Kluyveromyces lactis: one gene and its partners. The protein of the gene in region 1 purifies or fractionates together with the protein of each later gene. This does not show direct contact. Links are inferred from orthologs where the notes say so. Each region holds a gene or a part of one and is shown in the gene's direction. Other genes may lie near its edges.

Evidence for each region.
Region 2: the proteins of AIM23 (region 1) and RSM23 purify together in Saccharomyces cerevisiae (affinity purification with mass spectrometry; 3 studies listed by BioGRID). This does not show direct contact. The link is inferred for Kluyveromyces lactis from reciprocal best matches to the Saccharomyces cerevisiae genes AIM23 and RSM23.
Region 3: the proteins of AIM23 (region 1) and RSM25 purify together in Saccharomyces cerevisiae (affinity purification with mass spectrometry; 3 studies listed by BioGRID). This does not show direct contact. The link is inferred for Kluyveromyces lactis from reciprocal best matches to the Saccharomyces cerevisiae genes AIM23 and RSM25.

The regions. Positions count from the first base shown.
Region 1 is NC_006041.1:1,376,591-1,379,768, forward strand, and holds AIM23 (Aim23p), read left to right. Parts: upstream 1-1,508; coding exon 1,509-2,552; downstream 2,553-3,178. Other genes in the region: URA2 (bifunctional carbamoylphosphate synthetase/aspartate transcarbamylase), read left to right, coding at 1-837; KLLA0_E15401g (uncharacterized protein), read right to left, coding at 2,658-3,178.
Region 2 is NC_006038.1:197,314-200,632, reverse strand, and holds RSM23 (mitochondrial 37S ribosomal protein mS29), read left to right. Parts: upstream 1-1,475; coding exon 1,476-2,783; downstream 2,784-3,319. Other genes in the region: pseudouridine synthase PUS1, read left to right, coding at 1-1,119; CEG1 (mRNA guanylyltransferase), read right to left, coding at 2,892-3,319.
Region 3 is NC_006041.1:743,758-746,466, forward strand, and holds RSM25 (mitochondrial 37S ribosomal protein mS23), read left to right. Parts: upstream 1-1,387; coding exon 1,388-2,173; downstream 2,174-2,709. Other genes in the region: rRNA-binding ribosome biosynthesis protein UTP25, read left to right, coding at 1-423; KSH1 (Ksh1p), read right to left, coding at 766-984; EFM6 (putative protein-lysine N-methyltransferase), read right to left, coding at 2,409-2,709. UniProt on the Saccharomyces cerevisiae protein: Component of the mitochondrial ribosome (mitoribosome), a dedicated translation machinery responsible for the synthesis of mitochondrial genome-encoded proteins, including at least some of the essential transmembrane subunits of the mitochondrial respiratory chain.

The DNA.
Region 1 (3,178 bases):
GGTGTTGAAAGGGAAGGTGTTTTGGACGTCATGAAGAGCCGTGTTTTGACTACAATGTTCTACGAACCATCAACCCGTACATCATCTTCATTCATTGCTGCTATGGAACGTTTAGGTGGTAGAACTGTCAACATTAACACTTCTGCATCTTCTGTTAAGAAGGGTGAAACATTGCAAGATACCATCAGAACATTAGCCTGTTACTCTGATGCAATTGTCTTGAGACATCCAGACGAAATGTCTGCCCACATTGCTGCCAAGTACTCACCTGTTCCTATCATCAACGGTGGTAACGGTTCTCGTGAACATCCAACTCAAGCCTTCTTGGATCTATTCACTATTCGTGAAGAATTGGGTACTGTCAACGGTATCACTGTTACCTTTATGGGTGACTTGAAGTTCGGTAGACCAGTTCACTCCTTGTGTCGTTTGCTACAACATTACCAAGTTAGAATTAACTTGATCGCTCCTAAGGAATTGAGGTTGCCTAATGCCTTGCGTAAAGAATTGCAAGATTCTGGCTTATTAGGTATTGAAAGTGAAACACTAACACCTGAAATCATTTCCAAATCCGATGTGTTGTACTGTACAAGAGTGCAACAAGAAAGGTTCGAAACCGAGGAAGATTACTTGAAGCTCAAGGACACTTACATTGTTGACAATAAGATCTTGTCTCATGCTAAACAACAGATGGTGGTCATGCACCCACTACCTCGTGTTAATGAGATTCGTGAAGAGGTTGACTACGATCATCGTGCAGCTTACTTCAGACAAATGAGATATGGTTTGTTTGTCAGAATGGCATTGTTAGCCATGGTTATGGGTGTTGAATTATAAAGGAGCTAAACAGATTCGCGTTCGGAACTTTTTTCAGAATCAATCCAAAATCAAACAAAATAATTTAAACATGGAAGTAAATCGTTCATTTTACTTTAAATTCATCAGAAGGAATTCCTTAAACTAAGAAAACTCTTTTTTTGTGGGGACTTGAAAAGAGATATTTAATCGGAGGAAGAAAACTGATGAAATATGACTAAACTACCTTCATCTGTACCATAGTAATACAAGGACTTTCATAGTAGGAAAATAACTTCCTTAAAATTACAAAGTGACTTTTATCTATTGCACTTTCTATTCTTTGAAATGCTCAAAATTTCAGATACAATTAGTATATTTTGACATATATATCATTTTGTCGTACATATATAGTTCAAAGGTTTATCCTTACATTCACATCTGCATCGTTTAATACATTAATATTTCGCATCGACTTTATTTTCATTCTATTGTTCTCTTTTGTTTGAACCTATTCAGCTGTCAGTCTCTAGGCAAAACCAGCAACATATTAGTAAAAATGATCACGTGACAGATATCAACGCTTTCCCTTCTCTGTCAGAATATCTCAAAATCTTAATATGAAAGACAGTTGTATTTTTTTGATTTGATTAAGTTCAAGTCATCTCCGATGATAGAATTGCCTTGAAATGTGGTACGTTGGGCTGAAATAAATGAAGTACCACTATATACAGATGCTCAGAACTACTTTTAAATACAGCATTTCTTCAATACGTTTATTTTGCAATAATCGGGTTCTCCAGAACGAATCAAGGGCTGTATCGGATCTTCTTTTTAACCTACCAACATACAATCCAGCGACACATCGAAAGAGCGGTAACAATTCTCCACATAAAAATCGTGATAAACACCGCCATAGAAACGGTAATAAAGATCAACGGAATAAAAAACTTGTTTTCAGATGGAATAGTGGAACAGAGAAACAGCAGGCAGCTGCCAACTCGGTGCTAGAGGAAATACTAGCAATAAATTCAAAGGGTAACATCAAGGCAATCAATCCAGAAACTAGCAAGCTAGAAGAAGCCAATATTAGGAACTTTTTGAAGGGCGTTAACCTTGAGATAAATGGGATAGCTATGGTGAGTATCGATAATGCTGCGTCCGGAGATGTTCGTCTACCCATTGTCAAAGAAGTGCCAACAAGACAGGCATTAAAGAATTATTCCGACAAACTATCTAAAATTAAAGAAGAAGAACTTATAAAATTGGGTGTCAATATAAAGAAAACTGGCCGTCGCTCTCCAGACTCGAAAGCGGATTCATCTTGGAAATCAATCAAGGTTTCATGGCAAATATCGGATTATGATTTGAAAAAACAGAAATGTAGTGAAATTGTTTCTAATTTGGAAAAAGGTAGCAAGATTGCTCTTTTCATTAATGATAAAGACTCTTCTAACTTGTCACCTATAGATGAGGAGGAATTAGAAGCGATGCAGGAATCTTCTATTTCTAAAAAGGAAATGAAAAGAAGGGAAGAGGTTTTGGAGAAGCTAAACGAAATAATCAGCGAATATTCATCACAGATTACACAAGAAGGTTTGATCAATCAAAGAATAATTATGAAAGTAACTCCAAATCTTGTAAATACTAATAATGGAGTTGATAAAAAAGCTCTCAAGGAGCAACGGAAACGGGAAAGGCAGGAAAAGCTGCAACGCAGAATTGAGAAGAAAAAAACCAGCGATTCCACCGAATAACCAGGAAATATCTCGGACGATAGACGTTATAATGGCATATGTATCTTGTAAATATTGATAATTAGCGTACATATATCGAAAAATTTCACGTAATTGTGATGTATTCTAATGAATCAATAATGCTCCGATTAGCGAAAGGTCATGTAAGTCACCGTAGCCAAATTGTGGAATGGAAACTAATAAGTCATCTAATGGGGACTCAGCCAAATTGGAGCCGAAATTAGACCAACCCTTTTTCTTTTGCTCGGGGTTAACGAATTCAAGGTGTTTTAAAGCGGTTATGAGCAAATGTTTGGATCTCCAAAGTTCAACTGTTCTCTTCATTTCTGACATAGAGACACTCCAGATAGCACCAGCGCCATTAAAACTGCCCGGAGAAGAAAGAAATAGCCTTTTCCGGGAGTGTGAGAAGTGAACACCCTTACCAAACTCAATAGAGGACTTGACAGTGTTAAGGTCAACTAATGTGTCAAGTTCCAATATTAACCAGACCTCTAGTGCAGAGTTGCCAGCATCTTTGAATATGTAGACCTTATTGAAGAGCAACTGTGATATTGCAATATAATCTACTTGATCATGAGTCCATACGTGCATTTCTGCACCAAAGAATCCATGTTCAGAGGATG
Region 2 (3,319 bases), on another chromosome or scaffold:
AAAATCAACAACGAATTGCCGGATCAGATTAGAGTTTGGGACATTTCCCGTGTCAACAAGGCATTCGACTGTCGGAAAATGTGTAGCTCTAGATGGTACGAGTATCTGTTACCAACTTATTCACTGATTGGCCCAAAACCGTCTACTTATTTATACAACGAGATTGAAGCTAGCAAGAAGGAAATACCGAATGTTATCCAAGATGATGTAGAAAGTGCACAATTCTGGGAAGCATTCTCTACTGAGGCTGAATCTAAGTTTACCAAGGAGGAATTGGAAGAGATTGCAGCTTTTGTCATGCCGAAAGATTCTTTTGATGAAAACAATGAAACTTATCAAAAGAGCAAAGCATTCAAGAAACTCGAAGCAGAACACAAGAGAGCCTACAGAATTTCAAAAGAACGTTTAGATAGATTCAGAAGTGCATTAAAACAATACGAGGGTACTTTTAACTTCCATAATTTCACCTTGGGGAAAGATTTCAACGATCCGAGCGCCAAGAGATTCATGAAGCAAATCACAGTCTCAGAACCGTTTGTTATTGGTGAAGCTAAGACGGAATGGGTATCGATCAAAATCCACGGTCAATCGTTTATGTTACATCAAATTCGTAAGATGATATCTATGGCAACTTTGATCACAAGATGTTTCAGTCCATTGGAAAGAATTAGGCAGGCATACGGTCAAGAAAAAATCAATATTCCAAAAGCCCCTGCTTTAGGTTTATTATTGGAAGCCCCGGTTTATGATGGTTACAACACTAGATTACAAGAATTCGGATATGATCCGATTGACTTCAGTAAATATCAAAGCGAAATGGATACGTTCAAGATGAAACATATCTACGATAAAATTTACCTTGAAGAAGTCAATGAAAACGTCTTCAACGCCTTTTTTTCGTACATCGACACCTTCAACCCTTCATATAATATTAGCCAAGAACAACAGCAGCTGAAGGGGCAAGAACTACAGCAACCCTCTCAAGCAGTGGAACTTGTTACCGAAGATTTGGAACAAAAGGCTCCATCAGATCCTACTCCATCCGACGAAAAGGGCAAAAAACCACAAAGGCCAATCTTTGATTTCCTCACAGCAAGAGGTATCCAACTACAGGATTAAGATCTTCTGTCCGACACCATTTATAGCATTGCGTGTTTCGTTCTTCCCTTTAATAGATATACTTCCATAGTTCTTAGTGTTTTCACGTGACACGTATATTTTATTTTCTCTTAAGCTTTAATGATTTCAATATCTGAAAAATTTTCGAAATTTGAACTACTTCAGTAGCAGGCAGACTTCAAGTGACATAGATAAAGAATAACAGAACTACGTGAAATAATCCACTTTAATAAGTCAATTTGTGTTGGTTTTAAGAATAATTACAGAAGTGTGATTTAGTAAAAAAGAAGCTATATTAGTGAGACGGATTTCACTTCTTTTTAGAGATATCCGGACCCGTAAGATATATTTCGATCATGTTGAGAATACATACCAGACAGTTCTCCTGCAGTGCTGCAGTAGAGGCTGCAGCTAAGAAGAAAGCCCAAGGGTTCGCTAAGGCTCAATCAGGAACTAAGGCAGCAGCCAAAAGAATTACTCCTGGTTCCATGTATAAGAGATGGCAACCAGCTGTTGCAACGGCTAATTTACATAAAAATGCAACTTTTGTCGATCTGCCCATGTTTAATCCTAATAACATCAGTGCCGCAGATGTCCATTCTTTCTCAGAGCAGCAATTACAATTCTTGTATCGTCTGGGTTCATTCAAGCAAAATCAATTCAATGAATTGTTCACACGTCCAATATCACTAGTTAGAGATTCCACCACTAGAAAATTGTACGAAGCCTTACGGAAGTCAGAAAACAAAAAGCTTGTTCTAACAGGTGAACCAGGTGTGGGTAAGTCTACTCTACTGGCCCAGCTACATGCTCACGCACTAGAAAACAAGGGACTTGTGTTAACTGTTTCCAACTCCGAACTTCTTACAAATGGTAGAAATGACTTCTTCTTGGATGAAGACAGATACATTCAACCAATGTACATCAAGAACTTATTAACCAAATTTGTCAAATCCAACAAAAAAGAATTATTGCAATCCATTAAACTCTCCAAAGACTATAAATTAGTTCACTCTGGGGGTAAAGACCTATCTGTGAAGAGAAATGTGAATTTATCTGCAGGTAAATCCACGTTATACGATTTACTAAGTGTCAAGGCACCATCTCGTCACCGTGGAGCCGTTTTCGATGCATTCATTAAAGAATTAACTAACCAAACTGATCATCCGGTCTATTTCACTGTTGATAACTTCTCCCATCTTTTGACTACACCATTCACAGCATATAAAGACACAAGCAACAAAAATATTCATATTTTAAAATTCCAGGTTGGTCAATCTATTTTTGATTTAGTCTCTGGCGATTTGCAATTCGCTGCTAAGGACAGCTGTGTTGTTTTGGCTACTTCGGGTTTGGATAGAACCAATAGAACGTTATCAATTGGTTTGCAAAAGCTTCCTCACGATCCATATTTGACCAGATACCACTATGAACAAATTTTGGCCGAAAAGTTACTAAAGGGTAAAGTACAGGAGTTCGAAGTTACCAAACTTAATAAAGATGAAGTTGCCAAATTGATGGAGTTCTACCAAAAGGCGGGTATCGTACTTGACAAAGATTTACAGAACAAAACCTTCGAACAGCTTACCGAAGAAAAGTACTTCTTAAGTGGTAATGGTAATCCAAGGGAATTGCTCAAGAGTATTACACTATATCCATTCTAATTGTACATATTATATATTACAAAAAAACCCATGTAAATACAGGAAAGAAATATAATATGAGCACATATGCTCGTGTATATGTTATGCTTTTAACTTGACGCAAGATTCTTAAATCTTCTGTCTTTTTGTGTCTGGCTCGTCATCAGACCAATTATCATCGTCATCGTCTACATATTTTGGTTGATCTTGCGACTGCTCTGGTTCGGTTGAATGTTGCTGCGACAGCGACGATCTCGCAGAAGCCTGATGGTTGAATTGTTTTTGTGCATTTTTCAGTCCTTGTTCACGTTCTTTCCAGCGAGATCTCATTTCATCTACCACTTGTTCTAGATCATCCAATGAAACAGAATCACCGATACTTTCCAAGACTTTTTGAACGACTGATACGTGATTACCATTGAGTTTATCGTCTCTGAACCTAAGTAGTTTCCATGCACCTGATTCCTGATCTTTGGAACATTCTACAATTCTTCCGTTCAATGGCTCCTCCATGGCCTTGAGCTCATTCCATTGTTTGTCGTCGATTTCTATTTCTG
Region 3 (2,709 bases), about 630 kb from region 1:
TACATTCCTGATTATACCGATTTCATCCGTGTTAGAAACTATTTGAAAGAAAAAACTACAATCATATTCGGAGAAATCAACGAGTACTCTAACCAGAAACAATTGACATCCAATAGAGCAAGATTCCAACACGGAAAGGTGAAGGTCTTGTTATACACAGAAAGATTGCACCACTTTAGAAGGTACGAAATAAAAAACGTCAAGAGTGTAATTTTCTACAAGCCTCCGGGAAATCCTGAATTCTATTCTGAAGTTGTTCGCAATATTGGTAAGAACGTATTTTTAGGCAACTGTGATATCAACATTTCAACTGTCAGATGCATATATAGTAAGATGGACGGTCTTTCTCTAGAGAGAGTCGTAGGATCTAAACGCGCGGCAGTATTGGCTCATGGCCAAAACGAAGTGTACGAGTTTAAATAGAGTGGATCAAATATGCCATAAATAATTAGTAAACCGAAAACTTACGCAATCGTTCTCCTTTACTAATAGCTTAGAGTATTAAAATATGTTGCACTTTTCAACTTCTTTGTTTGTTGTAGAATTTTGAAACTCAAAGTCAGATTCAAAGAGTACATATTAATTCTTAATTATTTGATGCAAAGAGACAAGCCCGCAAACGAATCCAATAGCCGCCCGATAATAGATTAAACTAATTTTATACTTAAAATATAATTCTATAGACCTCAGAGCCGGTCAAACTTGCTAATGAGAGCTTTCACCTATAGCAATTGTGACTTATCTTTATCTTTTCCCTTGGGTTTATCAACTGTTGAATTGCGAAACTGCCATGGCAATGCAAGCTAAAGACACATAAGGACTAGCTCTTTCCCCAATTCTCGCAAACTTCCAAAATACTCCTAGTATACCGCTGTCCTTATAACGATCAAGGAGCGATGGTCTTTGTGCATGAATATATGTGCACGAACATATGAACAATAGTATAACTTGTAACAATGATTTAAAATTGAATAGGGCAGACATGTTTTTCAGAAAAGCTAGTGACCGTGAATATTCTGCCGAAGAAAATATCTACTCTGAACCTTTCAAAACAGGAACGAGATGAAACCTAAGGTTCATCAGTTATCATTCCACTGTATTGAAAAGAATAAAGGAACTTACGCTCCCCATACACTTAGCTCTTCGATCTTTAATTTTGGTGAAAAATGTTTACTCTTCACGTGATCTAAAAATTGAATGCTTCTACTTAGAAAAATTTGAAAAATCTGATCGACGATCCAAAATGAAATTATAGTGAAAAGTTGAAAAGTTCACAAATATGCTGTATGAACAGCTCCAGGACAACAAGTATTGGATCGATTGCTTGAACCTGCGAGTTTACTGAGATAGTATAGAGTAAACGGGCCATATAAACGTCAGATATAAAATGAAGGTTCAGCAAGAAGCCGTTAATGTACTAGAACGTACATCCGCCTATTTGAAGTCTGGTATTTTGAAGAAGACTCCAGCTTGGTACAATGTTATAGCGAAGGTACCACCAACAAAGAAGTTTGCTAGAACCCCACAACTGACACATCCTATGAACGGTAAATCTAGAACTGCACTACCTGATTACAGCAATTGGAAGGCCAATTCTTCAGGATTATACAAAACTAGACCAAATTCTTTGGAAAAGAAAGATGGTGCATCGAAGCTATATCAGTCCCCAAAATTAGTATATATCGAGGATAAATTGAGAAAATTGTTCTTCCAGCAACATCCATGGGAACTTTCAAGACCTAAGATTCTTGTTGAGAATACCCTAGAGACTCAAGAATATGACTGGTCTCATATCCAACAACTAGGCAAGCCATTGGATGGCGAATCAGTTGTACAAAGGACGCTTTTCCTATTAAAATCAGGAGAGAAAAAAGAACTCATTGATGCATATGATCAAGCTAGATTCGAGTTCTACCGTCTAAGAATACAACAAGAAATTCAAGATCAAGTTGCTCAAGAAGAAGCCGAAATGTTCGGTTCAGTCTTCCATACCACTTCAATAGAATACGGAATTGCTAAGGAACAAAAGGTCATTGACACATGGAAGAGAAAGGCCTTACAGCAAGCTGAGTTGATGGCTGCCAGAGCAAGTAGTCCTTCTGCTTCCTGGACAAACGAGACCGAAGAAGAACAAAAACCTATTGATCAAGATGTTGAGGAAATTCAACTATGATCTTCCACAATTAAACACAACCAATGAACACTATTCCCGTCAGAACTCTGAGTTTTACTGTCATTATTGTATAAAAATTTCATGTATATATAAGTCACTATAACTATAAAGTTACTCATAGTTAATTCACGAATTGAAAGTACTTTCATGAGCATCACAAAAAGCATAAAAGATCAAACTAAATGGGGTGTCTTTGCATTTGACAAACGTCAGTTGTCACCCTACTACTATTTTTTTATTTCTCCCTCATAAGCTGAAACAAATGAGTTCTCTGTTTCAAATATTTATCGAAGTTAATAAAATCTCGTATCTCTACAATTTTAAAGTTCTTCTTGATCTTTTGGAAGAAATGTTTGTCCGCTTTACGCCTTTTCTTGTATGCCATTAGAATAATTGGCACATTCTCCCCATCAGTTAATTCTAACAGTGTTTTTTCCAATAATGGGAAAGCAGCTTCTAAGTACACACAGTCCGCAGCTAGCACTAAATCAACCGGTTTCTTGACAAATACATCCGGCAAGGGATTCCCCCACCAT